Stegostoma tigrinum: one gene and its partner. The protein of the gene in region 2 purifies or fractionates together with the protein of the main gene of each other region. This does not show direct contact. Links are inferred from orthologs where the notes say so. Each region holds a gene or a part of one and is shown on either strand. Other genes may lie near its edges.

Evidence for each region. The genes of interacting proteins can lie anywhere in the genome.
Region 1: the proteins of OTU domain-containing protein 1 (region 2) and flncb purify together in Homo sapiens (affinity purification with mass spectrometry; 3 studies listed by BioGRID and IntAct, with this or other methods). This does not show direct contact. The link is inferred for Stegostoma tigrinum from reciprocal best matches to the Homo sapiens genes OTUD1 and FLNC.

Annotation. Positions count from the first base shown.
Region 1 is NC_081378.1:21,511,787-21,519,641, forward strand, and holds the start of flncb (filamin-C), read right to left. Parts: upstream 3,008-7,855; 5' UTR 2,846-3,007; coding exon 2,509-2,845; intron 1-2,508.
Region 2 is NC_081355.1:119,876,370-119,884,199, reverse strand, and holds OTU domain-containing protein 1, read right to left. Parts: upstream 2,950-7,830; 5' UTR 2,554-2,949; coding exon 1,324-2,553; 3' UTR 519-1,323; downstream 1-518. UniProt on the Homo sapiens protein: Deubiquitinating enzyme that specifically hydrolyzes 'Lys-63'-linked polyubiquitin to monoubiquitin.

The DNA.
Region 1 (7,855 bases), on a different chromosome or scaffold from region 2:
TGATAGAGCTTGATCTGCCTGGCAATTTCCACCTTGTCTACAATGAAGTTACTGACTTTGTCCAACAATCTAGTGCACTGACTAAATTAAAACACTGCCTGCTTAATTCTGAGCTCTCACAGCAAGCAGCAAGAAACAGTCCCCCCCACTACCATTCTGACATTTTCACTGTTACAAATTAAACTGACAAGCAGGCAGGCAGCCATGTTCACTGCTGCACAAACTTACTTTTGTACAGCACATTTAACATAAGACACTTTACAAGAGAAGTTACTACAAAAATCAACAGGGAACTGAGTGTGGAAATATTCAGCCCACATGACCAAAAGTCTGAAGCAGTAACTTAAGAGATAGGGCTAAAATTCCAGCAACCAGGGTTTGTATAGTTCAAGGCATATTCCCCAATGGTTATAGGATTAAAATAGTACAAAGATTTCTGATGGCTTGCAGGAGACCATGGATTGAAATCAAGGGTGAGAACTTTGGTGGGATGAGTGGCCAGTGGAGATCAGCAAGCACAGGGATTTTTGTTTTTGAGTCGGGGGGGGGGGGGGGGGGGGGGCATGTAGTGGCAGCAGCAAGAGTGAGTTAGGACACAGGCAGAGTTTCAGACAAGCTGCAGTGTATGGCAAGCGGAAGGAAGGAAGGCTGGCCCAGTGATCATGGAAATACTTTGATTCTAGAGGTAACACTGCCATGAATGAGGGTTCCAGCAGCAGATGAGCCAAGGTAGAGACTGGCAAACTGACAAGGGGTGGAAGTGGGCACCTTAGTGATTAAGGGGATGTGGAAATCTGACATTTCACTCAGTCAACTGTTCTTAGCTCTGCTGTCCTAATCTGTTTCAGCCACCAATCAATGCCAGAAATTAGGAACTTCTTCCTCCCCCCCCCCCCAACTAACAGAAGCTCCTGTGATCACAGAGGCTGTGCCAATTTCTACAAATCTCTACTTCTGCACCTGTTAAAATTAACAACTGCAGGACACTCACACCCTGTCACTCATACACTTAAACCAATGATCTCAGATGATAGTATTGTACTGAGCTGTACTGGTCCTTCAACTGAAATGTTAGCCAGGGGCCCATGGTTCAGCTTGGGTGCACAAAACCCAATGAGTGAAGGTTAAGAAATTCTTCCAGTGTCATGGTTAACATTTTTCCCTCTACCAATGTCACAAATACTGAAAGACTTGCATTTCTAATCACTGTCCTCACATCTTCAGTGCAGCCCAACTCACTTCATATTAATTAATTCCTTCTGCTGTATAGTCCCATTTATTCAGAAATACTGCAGGAATTTACACAGCAAGATTCCATAGACAGCAGTAACCAGACTCTGCCTTATTTATAAATATTAGTCAGGCTATGCTCTTCTTCCCATACATAGCAGCATATGAGCTTTTACATCCATCCAAGTGCATAGACAGGGTCTGATCTGAAAGACAGCACCCACACCAGGGCAGGGCAGCATACAGCACACTCCCAAGTGGGTCAGTTTGGAGTTTGGGCTCAGGCCTCTGCAGTCAGACTCAGACACACTTTCTGACTCAGTGTTGAAGAGAATCATCTCATTGCCATTTGTGGGAATCTTGCTGCGGGTTTAATAGCTGTTCCCTTCACCTATAAGTCACTGCCAAGAATTAGTTGCAGCTCCAGCACCGCTGGGCCATATTGAGATATGTGACAAGGTTCTGTATAAAATAGAAAAGTTAGACTTCAAGTCAGCGTAATATTCACAGAATCGTAGCGCCGACGGCTATTTGGTCCATCGTGACTGTACGAGCTTTTACAAAAAACTACCCACATAAATCACACTTTGTTGGTGTTTCCTTGTGAGGCACCTAACTTTCCCACACAAACCATTCGCTTTCCTGCGGAACCTTAAAATAATTGAATTTGCTTCCACAAGCCTCAGTGACCGAGAAATAACAACCCGCTCTCCAACAAGCTCGCCGTCACTTCGGGAGAAGTTCAGCATTAACCATGCCGCCGCTCCTTCCAGAGGCTGGCGAGCGCGGCTTACTGACGCTCTTGGCAAAAAAAAACATGTGAATTTTAAACGTCTTTACAATAATATATTTTATTGTCGGAAGAAAAAAGGAAAACTAGCCCATGGGTTTAAAACTCAATAGCGGTGGATCTCAGTGAGGAGCCGAGCCAGAGGCGGGGAAAGAGGGGACTGGGACTGGAATTACACCCCCCCCCCCCCCGCCTCACCCGGGACTGCCCTTCCCGGGGGGAAGAAGCAGGGAACGGGAGAAAAGGCGGGGGGCGGGGGAAGGAAGGGGGAGAAAAGGCGGGAGGGGGAATAAAGGGGAAAAGGGAGGGGGAATAAAGGGGAAAAGGGAGGGGGAATAAAGGGGAAAAGGGAGGGGGAATAAAGGGGAAAAGGGAGGGGGAATAAAGGGGAAAAGGGAGGGGGAATAAAGGGGAAAAGGGAGGGGGAATAAAGGGGAAAAGGGAGGGGGAATAAAGGGGAAAAGGGAGGGGGAAGGAGTTGTTCTTACCGATGGAGACCAGTTTAATCCTCTCTCTTTCCAGGAACTCCAGCGCCACAGACACATTCTCCAGCTTCATCTGGCGAAAGTTGGGCCGCGAGTGGTACTTCCTGTACATCTTCTTCTGGCTGAGCACCTCCAACAATCCGATCAACTTCAGGCCATCGCTCAGGTCCTTCTGCAGGTCCCCGATCCTCTTGTTCACACACTTGAGGTGCTCGTTACACCAGCGGGTGAACGTGTTCTGCTGGATCTTCTTCCAAGGAGCGTCCTCCGCCAGGTCTTTCTCAGTAGCCGGCATCTCCCCGTCCTCCTGGCCATTGGCCGCCGCCTCTTGCTGCTCCATCGTCCGCCTCCGGGAAACTTCTTCTCCGGACTCTACAGAGTGGGTCTCGCCGCGGTAACTCCCCCCTCCTGCTCACTCCCGGTTCCGGTCCTCTCTCTTTCTCACTTCCACCCTCTCCGCCCGGCTACCAGCCGCCGAATGGCCGCGCTGGTGGCCCCGCCGCACTTTTTAATGAGTGACGGCTGCTCCGGGCCCACGTCAGAGAGCAGGCTCGCCAGGAATCCCGAGGCCATGGCCGTATAAAAACTCCAGAGCCAGGTCATGCTGCTCGTCATAGCCGCTGACTGCAGCCTTCCGTTAGCACCTCAAAGCATCGAGGATAGCAATGGGTTAACCCAGCCTCCTCTCTCCACTCAATGGGTTAATAACAGCCTGAGTTGAACCCCACTCTGGGTGCATTCTCCATTCAATGGGTTAACTCTAGAGCTCAGTTTAACTCCACCCAGGGTCTGACCTGTCTCCTCTCGCCACCATTCAATGAGCTAACTGGAGCAAATCATGTTGAACCAACTTGCTGGCTTCCCCCACTTTCCACCCCCATCCCTCCGAAAGGGATAACACCGAGAGGTAATGCTGTTGGTGTCAATAACATGGACTTCCAAAAGGCATTTGATACCGTGCTGCATGGAGAGACTTGTGAGCAAAGTTAGACCTCCGATTTAAAAGGCACAGTAGCAAGTGGATAGGAAGTTGGCCGAGTGACAGAATACAGAGAGTAGTGGCTAATGGAATAAAAAATCAGAAAATACTGGAAGAACTCAGCAGGTCTGGCAGCGTCCACGGAGAAAGCAGTTCACATTTTGAATCCATTGACTTAGAACTCAGCGGAGTCAAAACATTCACTCCGCTTTTCCCTCCACAGAGTCTGGGAGATCTGCTGAGCTTCTCTAGTACTTTCTGTTTTTATTTCAGATATCCAGCATCTGCAATACTTCAAATTTAGTGTTTGATGAAGTTTTTTCTGAGAAGGGTTTATAGTGGGTCAGTGTTGAGAGCCTTGTTTTACCTGATCTATATTCATTATGTGGTTCAGAACAGAATTTTGAAACTTGTGGCTGATAGATTCGCTCCAAGTTTTCTAAATTGTGAGGAGGACAATGTGAAACTGCAAAGAATGTAGATAAGTTGGTGATGTGAGCAGATATGTAGCAGCTGAAATTCAATGTGGAGAAGAGTGAGGAGATTCATTTTGGAAGAATGCAAAATATAAGGGTACTACTCCAAAGGGGATGCAAGAATGGAAGGAATTAGGGGTATAAGTAATCAAAAGTGGCAGACCACGTTGAGATCAATTAACAAGGCATACAGTATCCTAGGCTTGAGTAGTGCTGGTGTAGAGTCCAACAGCAAGGTTATCTTAAACCTGCATTAAACACTGTCTCAGCCCCAACTTGAGTACTGTTCAATTCCATTTTAGGTACCCCACTTTAGAAAATTTGTGAAGGCTTTAATAAGAGTGCAAAAATATGCTTATGATTGGTTCCACAGATGAGGAACTTCAGCTACATAGGTATGCTGGAGAAATTGGGAACTGTTCACCTTGAAGCTTGAGATGAAACTCGATTGAAGTATTCAAAATCCTGAGGGGTCTACGTGGAGTTAACCAGGTAGGAAAAGGTGTTTCTACTGGTTGAACAATCAAGACTGAAAGATATAATTTAAGGTAATTGGCAAAATAATCAAAGGAAACATGGGGAGAAGATGTGGAATGCAGCAAGTGGTTAAGATCTGGCATGCGCTGCCTGAGAACGTGGTGGATTGATGCACTCAATAGTATGTTGGGTTTTTACTTGAAAAGAGAACTTGTGCAGGGTTATCACAAAAATGCAGGAAATGGCACTAGGTGCATTGTTCAGAGAGTCAGGACAGGCATGTCACTCCTGTCATGTTACAATTCTGTGAACTCACCAGTCTGGGTTAACCTGCATCCTTCCCAGTGTAAGCAATGACAGGGTGGGGGGGGGGGGGCGGTGTGGTGGGGGAATCCCTGTCGGTGTATTCAATGTGCCAACTGTCTAGAGGTTGGGTAAATACCCTCTCCTTTCCCAACTGCATTCACTGCATTAATACATTTTTGTCTTTCACATCAGCCACTGTGCACCCCCCAATTCCATTTGTACCCCTATCCTCCCACTCCTAAAAACGACTGGATTCCAGAAACAGAAAGTGAGTAGGAGTTACCGGAGAGCAGTCCCAGCCTTACTGAGCTCAGCTGCTATTTCTGAATATCCTAGGGTCAGTGTTAGAATGACAGAAGTTCATTTTTATACATTTATTCCTGCCCCTTCCCAGGAATAGCTGTACACATGTTCTCATTGATCGAATATAGCATGAGGCATCATTGCCAGGGGCCAGGCATCATCACTCAGCAATGTAGCAACTCACTATTGAAAGCTTCAGGGACGCTGCATGAAAGTAATTAAATCTGTTTTTCTCCATATCTTAAAGGTGCCTCACTGGTCAGTCAGCCTCTGAATTAGTTGTGTGAGCTGTGTGTGACATTCCTCATAGACCAATGTTGAGATATCCAGTCATCGCCTTTGCCCCTCTGGCTCCCGATCAGTGCCTAAACCACATATCCAGTGACAGACCCAATTAAATGCTACATTTCCAAGCCAGCTAATTCTTTTTACTTAGACTAATATCCAAATGAGGCTCTGATCTCTCATTCTCACTCATACTGCTTTCTTTTTCTCCCCTGCGTTGGACTTTCAGAGTGAAAATGTTGTTGGTGGCAGGCTGACTCCCCTGATATTGTTGGGGTAAATTTCCTGACATCAGGGTGAAATACCTTGATATTATCTGTGTGATTGTCTTGTCATCACTCATGTGCATTAGAGGGTGAATTTCAAATTCATTTCTTATTACTATAAAGGATAGGGCTAATGAGTGGCTTAATTGTTTTTCGTCACGATTTGTCAAAAAAAAACACGAATATTTTGAAAATGTATCACTTTGAAATATATATTTAATAGTAAACCATTGATAAGCAAAATACATTCCACCGATTACAGCCCCAGCAATAAATGAACAAAGAATATTATTTGACAACATGGGAAGTATCGCAGGCAGACATTGCTGAGGACCCAGGATTGCCCAGTACATCATTTCACCATTTCTGGGTGGGGAAGAGGGAGGGGTTTAAGGAGACAAGGATGCCCAGGAATCCCATTTTGAGAAATTAGAAGTGGTTTGGGAAGGAGGAGTGCTGGACTCCCCAGAAACCATCTCTAGGGTTGGTCACGACTTGCTGAGACCCTCATCTCAGGAGTGAAGGTACATTTGTGGGGATGTGGTAACAAGTCTCCCCCATGTTGGGGGCAGGACAGGGGTCAGATTTCCCCCAGACCCCATCCCTAGTGGAGCCCAGGACTCTTCGTGGCCTCATCTTTTTTGAGGTGCTTGACTGCCAGGAAATTTTTCTCACAAATGCAGCGTACAAATTTTTATTTGTAATTGAAAGCATGGTCTCAGTGAAGCAACAAAGGAGAGACTACAGAACTCAACTGGCCAAGAGAGGCAAAAACATGGTATAAAGCCCATACCAGAGTTCAAACCAGAGGAAAAGGAAAACACAGATTTGAAAGGAAGGCAATTCAGTGCTGGGCCACCACTCAGTCTCCTTGTTTCTCTTTCACTCCAATCTACACTCAGAGCAGTTAGCAGTATGCCAATGTTTGAGTGACAAGGACAGCATTAACTATACACACTGGTACAATACAGAGTCTCATTTTACAATATTTTACAAAAAATGATATTTCTTACTTGATGATCAATGAAATTATTTGCAAGAATATTCACAGAGCATTTTTACTGACAAATAGACAGTAGCTGGGTGAGTCAGTCATCAGACAGCAAAGAATGATTATGGTCTCTCTGTTTTCTCCTTCAGATCTACAACTCTCCGTGTGCTCTCCCTTTCTCTAAATCTGGTCTCACACACAGCCCCCGTTTCCATCAGTCTACCAATGGTGACTGTGCCTTCAGTCTCAGACCAAGGCTTTGGAATTCTCTCCCTAAACCTCTGCATCTCTCCACTTCCCTGTCCTTAATACACTCTTTGAAAGTTAGCTTTTAGTCATCTTCCTAAATTGTTCTTCATGTGACTCATTCTCAAGTATTTGTCTGCTAAGCCTGCTGCAAAGTACCTTTAGATATTTAACTGTGTCCAAGGCAATATAAGTTCAAACTGTTGTTGTCCGCATAGAATTTGGGGTTAACTCTCTATCTTCACATTTCAAGCTTTCTTTAAGTTTAGGTTTCTGAAAACAAAACAGAACTCCTAATGAACAAAACAGGCTATTTAATAGGATTGGGTATCTCTTCTCTGTTTCATTGGGAATCAAAAAGCTTAGACTTTCAAACCACACAGTGTTAGGGAAATTCACAGCATAGAACAAGACCACTTAGCTCAATGCATCTGAGTTAGCTCATTAAAACAATCCCAGACATATTCCAATATATGCTCTCTCCCTGTAGTTCTATGTCAATCCCAAACTTTACCACATGTTCTCCCCATAGCCCCATATCCATCCAAACTATCCTGTTACCTGTCTCCCTGTAACCATACCTCAAACTCCCTGCCTTACACTCTCAGGTAGGCCTGACTCTATCCCAAACTCCCTGTCACATGCTCTCACCATAGCCCCATATCCATCCCAAAATAGTACCACTGATCTACACTCTGCCCCAGAGCCTTCTATCAGTCCCAATCTAATGTCACTACCTCCTATAGTTCTGTATCAATTCCAACTAATTCCACTCCACTTTCTTCCCATAGACCTGTATCAGTCACAAACTAATTCGATTGACCCGCTCTTTCCCTATAACACTGGAAAAACTAATCTGAATGCTGCATTCACTTCCCAAAACTCGATATGAAACCCAAGTAAAAACCTCCAAGCCCACTTACTTTCTCCAGCTCAAAATTAGTCCCAAACCGATCTCTTTCTCTCTCTATGACCTGTATCAATCCCAAATTAATCCCACAACTCAATTCTCACCTAAAAT
Region 2 (7,830 bases):
TAAAAAGCTACTTATTGTAAGTTAATGGCAAAGTACATGACATTGAGTGCATTCAGACTACAGTATACTTTATAAATGTTGCACTTTATGTACTGGGTTTTGTACAGTAGTTACCAGCTGGTAGTTGAAGTGTTGATTTAATAGTTTCATGCACTACACAATATGCAGAAAAATTACCCCACCAATTTTTAAAATCGGTAGCTGGTCCATGTGGTAGAGATGCTCAGAGTAACCAAGCTGAAGGTTTCTCCTCCATTCTTTAGATTTATTAATAATTAGTGTAGCCTGTTCAAAAATATCATCCAATTTTTAAAAACGTCTTCTGGTTTGAATAATCTAATTACCAACTTTTATTGGCATTGAAACTTGAGGTTTAATTAGAGAGAGTTTAAACTCGGTACACACATATAGATTGAGCTTTGCAGAATATTAAAGTGATATTTTACTGGAGTGTCATAATCAAGGCCCTCTGCTTCTGTTAAGAACAGGAGTATGAAACATTTAGTCTCTGACAGCTGTTTGTGAAATGTTATATAGTTTTAATTCATTCCATGTTGATTAATAACTTCACAATCAATACAAATACAGTAATTGCAAACTGGTTACAAGTTTGACCCTGCAAACCACTTTTGGATGTCAATACATCTTGGACAGCGTATAAAAGTCAGTGAAATGGCAAGAAACAGACAGTAATAACGTTAGTAATTGTAGCTAAACTTTAAAAGATCTAAAATCTCTATTCTAACCAATTAGAAAAATCAAGGTGGCAATTAGCTACCTGCCAGAATACCAAATACAAGAACGTAATGAAGGAGATATGACAATAACAAACCAGCAATTGCAAAAAATTGCAATAAAACATCTTTAAAAAAACCCCATTCAGAATAAAAACTCTCCAAAGCAGAGATTAAACATCAGTTGCTTTCCAAACATCAGAAGATTAAGATTTTAATTAAAAAAAACACATGCTTAATGAGACAATGCAGTCCCATTCAATCCTATGGTCTCTTATCTGCAATAAGCCTGATTTAAAAATTCAGGTGCCCCGCAACCTTCATTAGTTTGAGCTCAAACATTTGGTAAAACATCTAGGTATTCACACATTTAATTAAGGCATTACTTAGAGTTGATTTTATGATCCATTTTAAAGTGCTGTTAGCCCAATCAATGTGTAAGCATATAAATAAATAAAAACCATATTAACAATCTTTACATTTGTACTTCTTACTAGCCTTGCTCATATCAGTTTCATCAGCTTATGCAGGGAATCTTAGGTCCTGATCTGAAATGTTTATGAATAGTACTGCTTGGGAGGAAAGTCATTTAAAAACAGCCATTTTGCTCAATGTACATTTTTGAAAGAGAAGCTGCCATGGACTTTGCTAATTCTTCATCTCGTTTCCTCTGAACATGTGTTTTTGTGCACCAGGTTTCATACTCTGGATTAGGTAGAGACTGATCAAACACAGCGTCGTAGTGTCCATTGCTCAACCAACTCAGCCATATGCTGGATTTTGATTGATCTTCTGGGCCAAGACAATGCACCATAGTGGAAACTGTTGGGCTTTCCAGGCTACCCCCTGTGGTCAAGTATATGTTAATGTTCAGCATTTGACTCATAGTAAGCAGCTCTGGGTAACCAGCCCAGGCTCCATCCTGGGCAGCGTTGATTAAAAACTCCCCAATGTCCCCTTCGATGATGGGGTTAAACTCGTCCAAGTGATCTGCGATGTGATGGACAGTTTCTTCTCTCAGTTCCTTGTGCATGTTCTGGTCACCGTATACAGCTTTACTGACGGCCCTGTACAAACAGTTGCCGTCTGGAATAATATGGAACCGGTATTTTTGTCGCTCCCGCAGGTAACTATTTTGCTTCTCCACTTCTGCCAGGTAACGAGCCACTTTGTCGTTTCTGTCCGCCTTGTTCTCCACCACCAGGTCCACGGTCCTGAAGCCACCGTCGAATTCCCAGGCACTGCTGCTGCTCTGTTCAGCCGCCTCCGTAGCCCGGGACTCGGGACCCGGCCCGACCCAGTCCTGGTACTCCCGCTCGGTGCTGTCACCATCCGGCGGGTTGAAGGCGGTCTCCGGCCCTTCCGAGGCGGGCTGTAAGTCCGTCACTGCCCGCTCTTGCTGGCCATCGCCCAGGATCCGGGCTGAAGCCTTCCGCGATCCTTCCGTCAGGATGTCCTCGGTCCAGACACCCCGTCCCTGATGGCCCGGCACCGGGGGCTCGGCCTGCGTTCTGTCGCTCAAGATCTGGATCGGCACCATCCTCTCGAGAGGCCGCAGGGGAATCCTGGCGGTGGAAGTATAGAGGAGCGAGGCCGGAGACGGAGCCGGGCCCGGGGGCAGCAGTTCGCATGACGAGAAGGCGGGCATGGCGGCGGTGGTGGTAGAGGAGGAGGAGGAGGCGGCAGAGGAAGAGGCGGCGGTGGGCTCAGTCTTCACTCCGAAACTCGGGCCCTCGACAGGCGCTTTCTCCGCCGCTGGAATGGAGACTTTGAAGGCGGTGCCGGGATAGTGCGTTAAGACGCTGCTGTAATAGTGCATGTCGCAGCTGCGGCCCCTTTTATAGCGGCCTCGGGCTGATGATGGTAGTTAAAAATAGCGGCTGTCATCACCAGCTCCCGGTACAGCCTAAAGCCGCGGATACGAGGAGATTGGACACAGGCTCCGACACCTCGTTCACACCCTCCCGCCGGCCGCTCTAATTGCAACTGCGACACTCAGGCCTAACTTGATCCCCATTACGTCAGCGCCGCTCCACTAAAGACGGGAGATTTCTCCGCATAAAAGGTGCATCGTTCAGGCCGAGACCTTTCTGGAAAGCACTCGGCTTTTTTTTCCCCGTTTCCTCCCCTGGTCCCTCCCCTTTTGGGCGGCCTGCACTCGTTTACTGCCAGTCGTTGTCTCAGCATGCTGGAATGTGAGCGCCAGAAACGGGGGGGCGGGGGGGTTGTGGCATAACCGCCCTCCGCCGGACTACCCCGGGTCAATCACCGCCAGTTCCAAATCACTTCAGGCCACTGCCACCCCATCTTCAGTGCTAATCCTCTCCCCTTCAATACTCCCTCTCTCTTAACCCTTCCCCCAGGCTTCTTGTCCTGTTTCCATCCGTTTTTCTGTTCTCTCAACTCCTCCCTTCCTACTACTTCTTCTAGACTTTCAGACCCTCCATTCCCACCTTTTTTCGGTCTCTAAAACCCACCCGCCCCACGCCCGCCCGTGTCTCTCCCTTCCGGTCTACACCAACCAACAGCCATCCATTTTGCTGTCTCCTGCTCCCCCACCTTCCCATTCTCCTCCAGTTTCTTTATGCCATTCACCTCTTATCCAGTTTCCTAACCTAGTAATCTCCTCATGCATCCCACCATCTTTTGCATCCTCTCCTGGTCGCACCCCAACCGAGCACTAATCTCTCCACAAATACCCAACCCCCACTCCTCTTAAAGATCTATCCACCATTTTGCCTCACACTATCCCTCTTCAACACAACTGCTTCATTTCTGCCCTAAGGTGTTAGGTCCAAAGTTGTGGCGACAGGTAATCTGGGAACTTGATGACTGAGGGGCCAATAATGTATCACTATAATAAATAGGATTAAAGGATTGAGGAATAAACAGGAAGTCTGAACCAGCTGAATTCAATGTCAAATCAGGTACAGAAAGAGGAATCCATGCACCACAGGAAATATAGTACATTATTTCCCCCTCCAATTCGATTTTGATTTAGTCCTCTTTCCCCATCCCAAAACACTCACCCCCTCACTTTTTGATGTTAGCATTGCCCTTAACAGGCTTTGCTTGTAAATATTCAATTGGCCGCACTGAGGAAAAAATGTTGTGTCCCTGGAAAAGAGAAATCCAGAAGAAAGGAAAACTGGATGGACAGACAGAAATGACAGGCAGATGGGAAATATAAGATATTTTAGACTATTTTAAAAACAACAGCAATTGGAAAAATTCCTGAGTAATGAGGATCAAAATATTTTATTGTTAATTTCCAAGTCGTAGAGGTTGATTGGCAATCACTAAAATGGTACATTTGTCTTTCTATGAGAACAAGGTATAGAGCTGGATGAACACATCTGGCCAAGCAGCCTCACAGGAGCAGGAAAGCTGACCTTCCAGGCCTAGACCCTTCTTCAGAAATGGGGAAGGGGGTTCTGAAATAAATAAGGAGCGAGGGGGAGGCGGACAGAAAATGGATAGAGGGGAAGATAGGTGGAGAGGAGACAGACTGGTCAAAGAGGTGGGGATAGACCAGTCAGGGTGAATGTAGGTGGGGAGGGAGGGACGAAACAGGTCAGTCCAGGGAGGACGGACAGGTCAAGGGGGTGGGATGAGGTGAGTAAGTAGGAGATGGGGATGGGGATGGGGATGGAGGTGGGCGGGGGGATAGGTGGGAGGAAGGACAAGTTAAGAAGGCTGGTAGAACTGGGCTGGTTTTGGGATGCGGTAGGGGGAGGAAAGATCTTGAAGCTTGTGAAGTCCACATTGATACCACTGGGCTGCAGGGTTCCCAAGCAGAATATGAGTTGCTGTTCCTGCAACCTTTGGGTGGCATCGTCGTGGCACTGCAGGAGGCCCAGGATGGACATGTCGTCTGCGGAATGGGATGGGAAGTTGAAATGGTTCACAACTGGGAGGTGCAGTTGTTTAGTGCAAACCAAGCATAGGTGTTCTGCAAAGCAGTCCCCAAGTCTCCACTTGGTTTCCCCAATGTAGAGGAGGCCACAACTGGAACAGCGAATGCAGTATACCACATTGGCAGATGTGCAGATGAACATCTGCTTCAGGTGGAAAGTCATCTTGGGGCCTGGGATGGGGGTGAGGTGTGGCGGCAGGTGTAGCAATTCTAGCGGTTGCAGGGAAATGTGTCGGGTGTGGTGGAGCTGGAGGGGAATGTGGAGCAGACAAGGGATTCACAGAGAGAGTGGTCCTTCCAGAAGGCAGATAAGGGCTGGGAGGGAAAAATGTCTGGGTTGGATTGCAGATGGCAGAAGTGTCGGAGGATGATGCGTTGGATCCGGTGGTTGGTGTAGTGGTATGTAAGGACGAGGGGGATTCTGTTTTGTTTTTTATTGTGAGGAGGGGTGTGACGGATGAGTTGTGGGAAATGCGGGAGACACGGTCAAGGGCGTTCTCGACCACTGACAGGGGGGAAGCTGCAGTCCTTGAAAAACGAGGTCATTTGAGATGTATGGGAGTGGAATGCCTCATCCTGGGAGCAGATGCAGCGGAGGCGAAGGAATTGGGAATAGAGGATGGCATTTTTTGCAGAAAGGTGGGTTGGAGGAGGTGTATTCTAGATATCTGTGGGAGTCGGTAGGCTTGAAATGGATATCGGTTTCTAGGTGGTTGCTGGAGATGGGGAGAGAGAGGTATTAGAGATGGTCCAAGTGATCTTAAGGTTGGGGTGGAAGGTGTTGGTGAAGTGGATGAACTCACGGGAGCACGACGTGCCGCCAATTGTCATAAATGTAACAGAGGAAGAGAGAGGGATTAGGGCCAGTGTAGGTACGGAAGAGAGATTGTTCCATGTATCCTGCAAAGAGGCAGGCATAGCTTGGTCTCATGTGGGCACCCTTGGCCACCCCCTTTGTCTATAGAAAGTGGGAGGAATTGAAAGAGAAGTTGTTGAGGGTGAGGACGAGTTCGGCTAAACTGTCCTGACTTTAATGTGCAAATCCAGTGATGTTATGAAATTCCTTGTAAGTGGGAGGCATTGCTTTCACTAAGCAATTTTAGGTGATTCACAGTTCAAGGATTATCTATCAGCACAGGTTGCGGGGCCATTTGCTCATTGGTATGCATTATATAAATTTGTCATAACTCAGTTCAGTAATGTATTAAAATGGTGTAAAACACAGGACAAAAACAAAGTTGCTAGTAAAGTTCAGCAGGTCTGGCAGCATCTGTGAAGGAAAATTAGAGTTAATGTTTCGGATCCGGTGACCCTTCCTCAGAACTGACGGTGGCTGGGAAAATGTCAGTTTATATGCAGAATAAAGGGGAGAGGGATGGGGTAGAGAGTGAACAATAGGAAGAGAGAAAAGACCAGTTGGACAGACAAAGGTGAAAATGATCAGTCTGGGAGGGTGAATAGTTGTTAATGGGGACTATTAGTGACCAATAACAGGTAGTATGTAATGGACGGCTGTGTGGTAACAAGGCTTGGTGTGTTGGCATAGGGGCTGGGACACGGGAGAGTTTAGGCCCTAAAATTATTGAACTCAAAAAAGTTCTGAAAACTTAAAATGGAGTACTCCATTTTAAATGGTATCCTTGCACAGGACATCTGGGGCGAAAGCACAAATGGTTAAAACTAGCCATTAAGCCATTTTTCAAGGGGTTATTATGAAATTACAGAAGAATGAAAAGGTCTGATGAAAACATATTGAGAGTCTGGTTTTGAAAGTGATATTTTACAGCATTGTTGTTTCATTGTTGGAGAATTATTAAGTTCACTTTTGCTGGAGCGGCACTTACAAACTTGTCTCAAGTAAGTGAATCCCATCAGTGGTTAAAACAAATCTGTAACAGAAACAGAGCTACAAGAGGATGGGCTGATTTCTGCCTTTAGGTATTAGCTGCTTCTGTAAAATTCAAACAAACTACTACAGATGCTGAAGATCTAAAATCAAAACGAAAGCTCTAGATAAATTCAGCAGGCCTGATAGCATCTGTGGAGAGAGAAACAGAGTCAACATTTTAAGTTTGATATGACTCTTCCTTGGAACTCGATCACTTCTAAATATTTTAGAATTGTTACCTAAAAAACATCAATGGTATATAGCACTTGATTCTTTGGTACAAAGTCATTCAAATAATTCAAGAACAAAAACAAAGTTGCTGGAAAAGCTCAGCAGGTCTGGCAGCATCTGTGAAGGAGAAAACAGTTAACCTTTTCGGTCTGCTGACCCTCCCTCGGAACTGAGGGAGTTCTGAGGAAGGGCCACCGGACCTGAAACGTTAACTCTGTTTTCTCCTTCACAGATGTTGCCAGACCTGCTGAGCTTTTCCAGCAAGATAATAAAGTGTGAAGCTGGATGAACACAGCAGGCCAAGCAGCATCTCAGGAGCACAAAAGCTGACGTTTCAGGCCTAGACCCTTCATAACTGTTTTTGCTCCTGATTTACAGCATTTGCAGTTCTTCTGGTTTTCATTAAAAGAATTGTTCATAACTTCAAATAGGTTAAAGAAAGATGCTCAGGAGTTAAAGCAAATCAATTAGGACATTTACAAGATCACAATGTTTTGGGGCGTTATGTTTAAGTATGGGTAAACATGAAGGGGTCATGTGACCTGTGTTGAAGTATAGTTGACAGGCCTGGGTGATATAGGACTGTTATAGGATCTGTTCTGGGTCCTCCTTCTATTTGTGATTTTTGTAAATGATTTGGATGTAGGAGTGGAAGGGTGGACTAGTAAGCTTGCAGATGATATGAAGGTGAGTCGAATTGTGGATAATGCGGAGGGCTGCTCTAGGTTACAAAAGGACACTGATAGGATGCAGAGTTGGGCTGAGAAGTGGCAGATGGGGTTTAAACCTGAAAAGTGTTTGCCTCAATCTACCCTGATTGAAATGTTCTCAAAAAAACTCTAGTCAGATAGGAGATAATGGGAACTACAGATGCTGGAGAATCCGAGATAACAAAGTGTGGAGCTGGATGAACACAGCAGGCCAAGCAGCATCTTAGGAGCACAAAAGCTGATGTTTCGGGCCTAGACCCTTCATCAGAAAAGGGGGATGGGGAGAGGGTTCTGAAATAAATAGGGAGAGAGGGAGAGACAGATTGCAAATGGAAAGAGGAGAAGATAGAT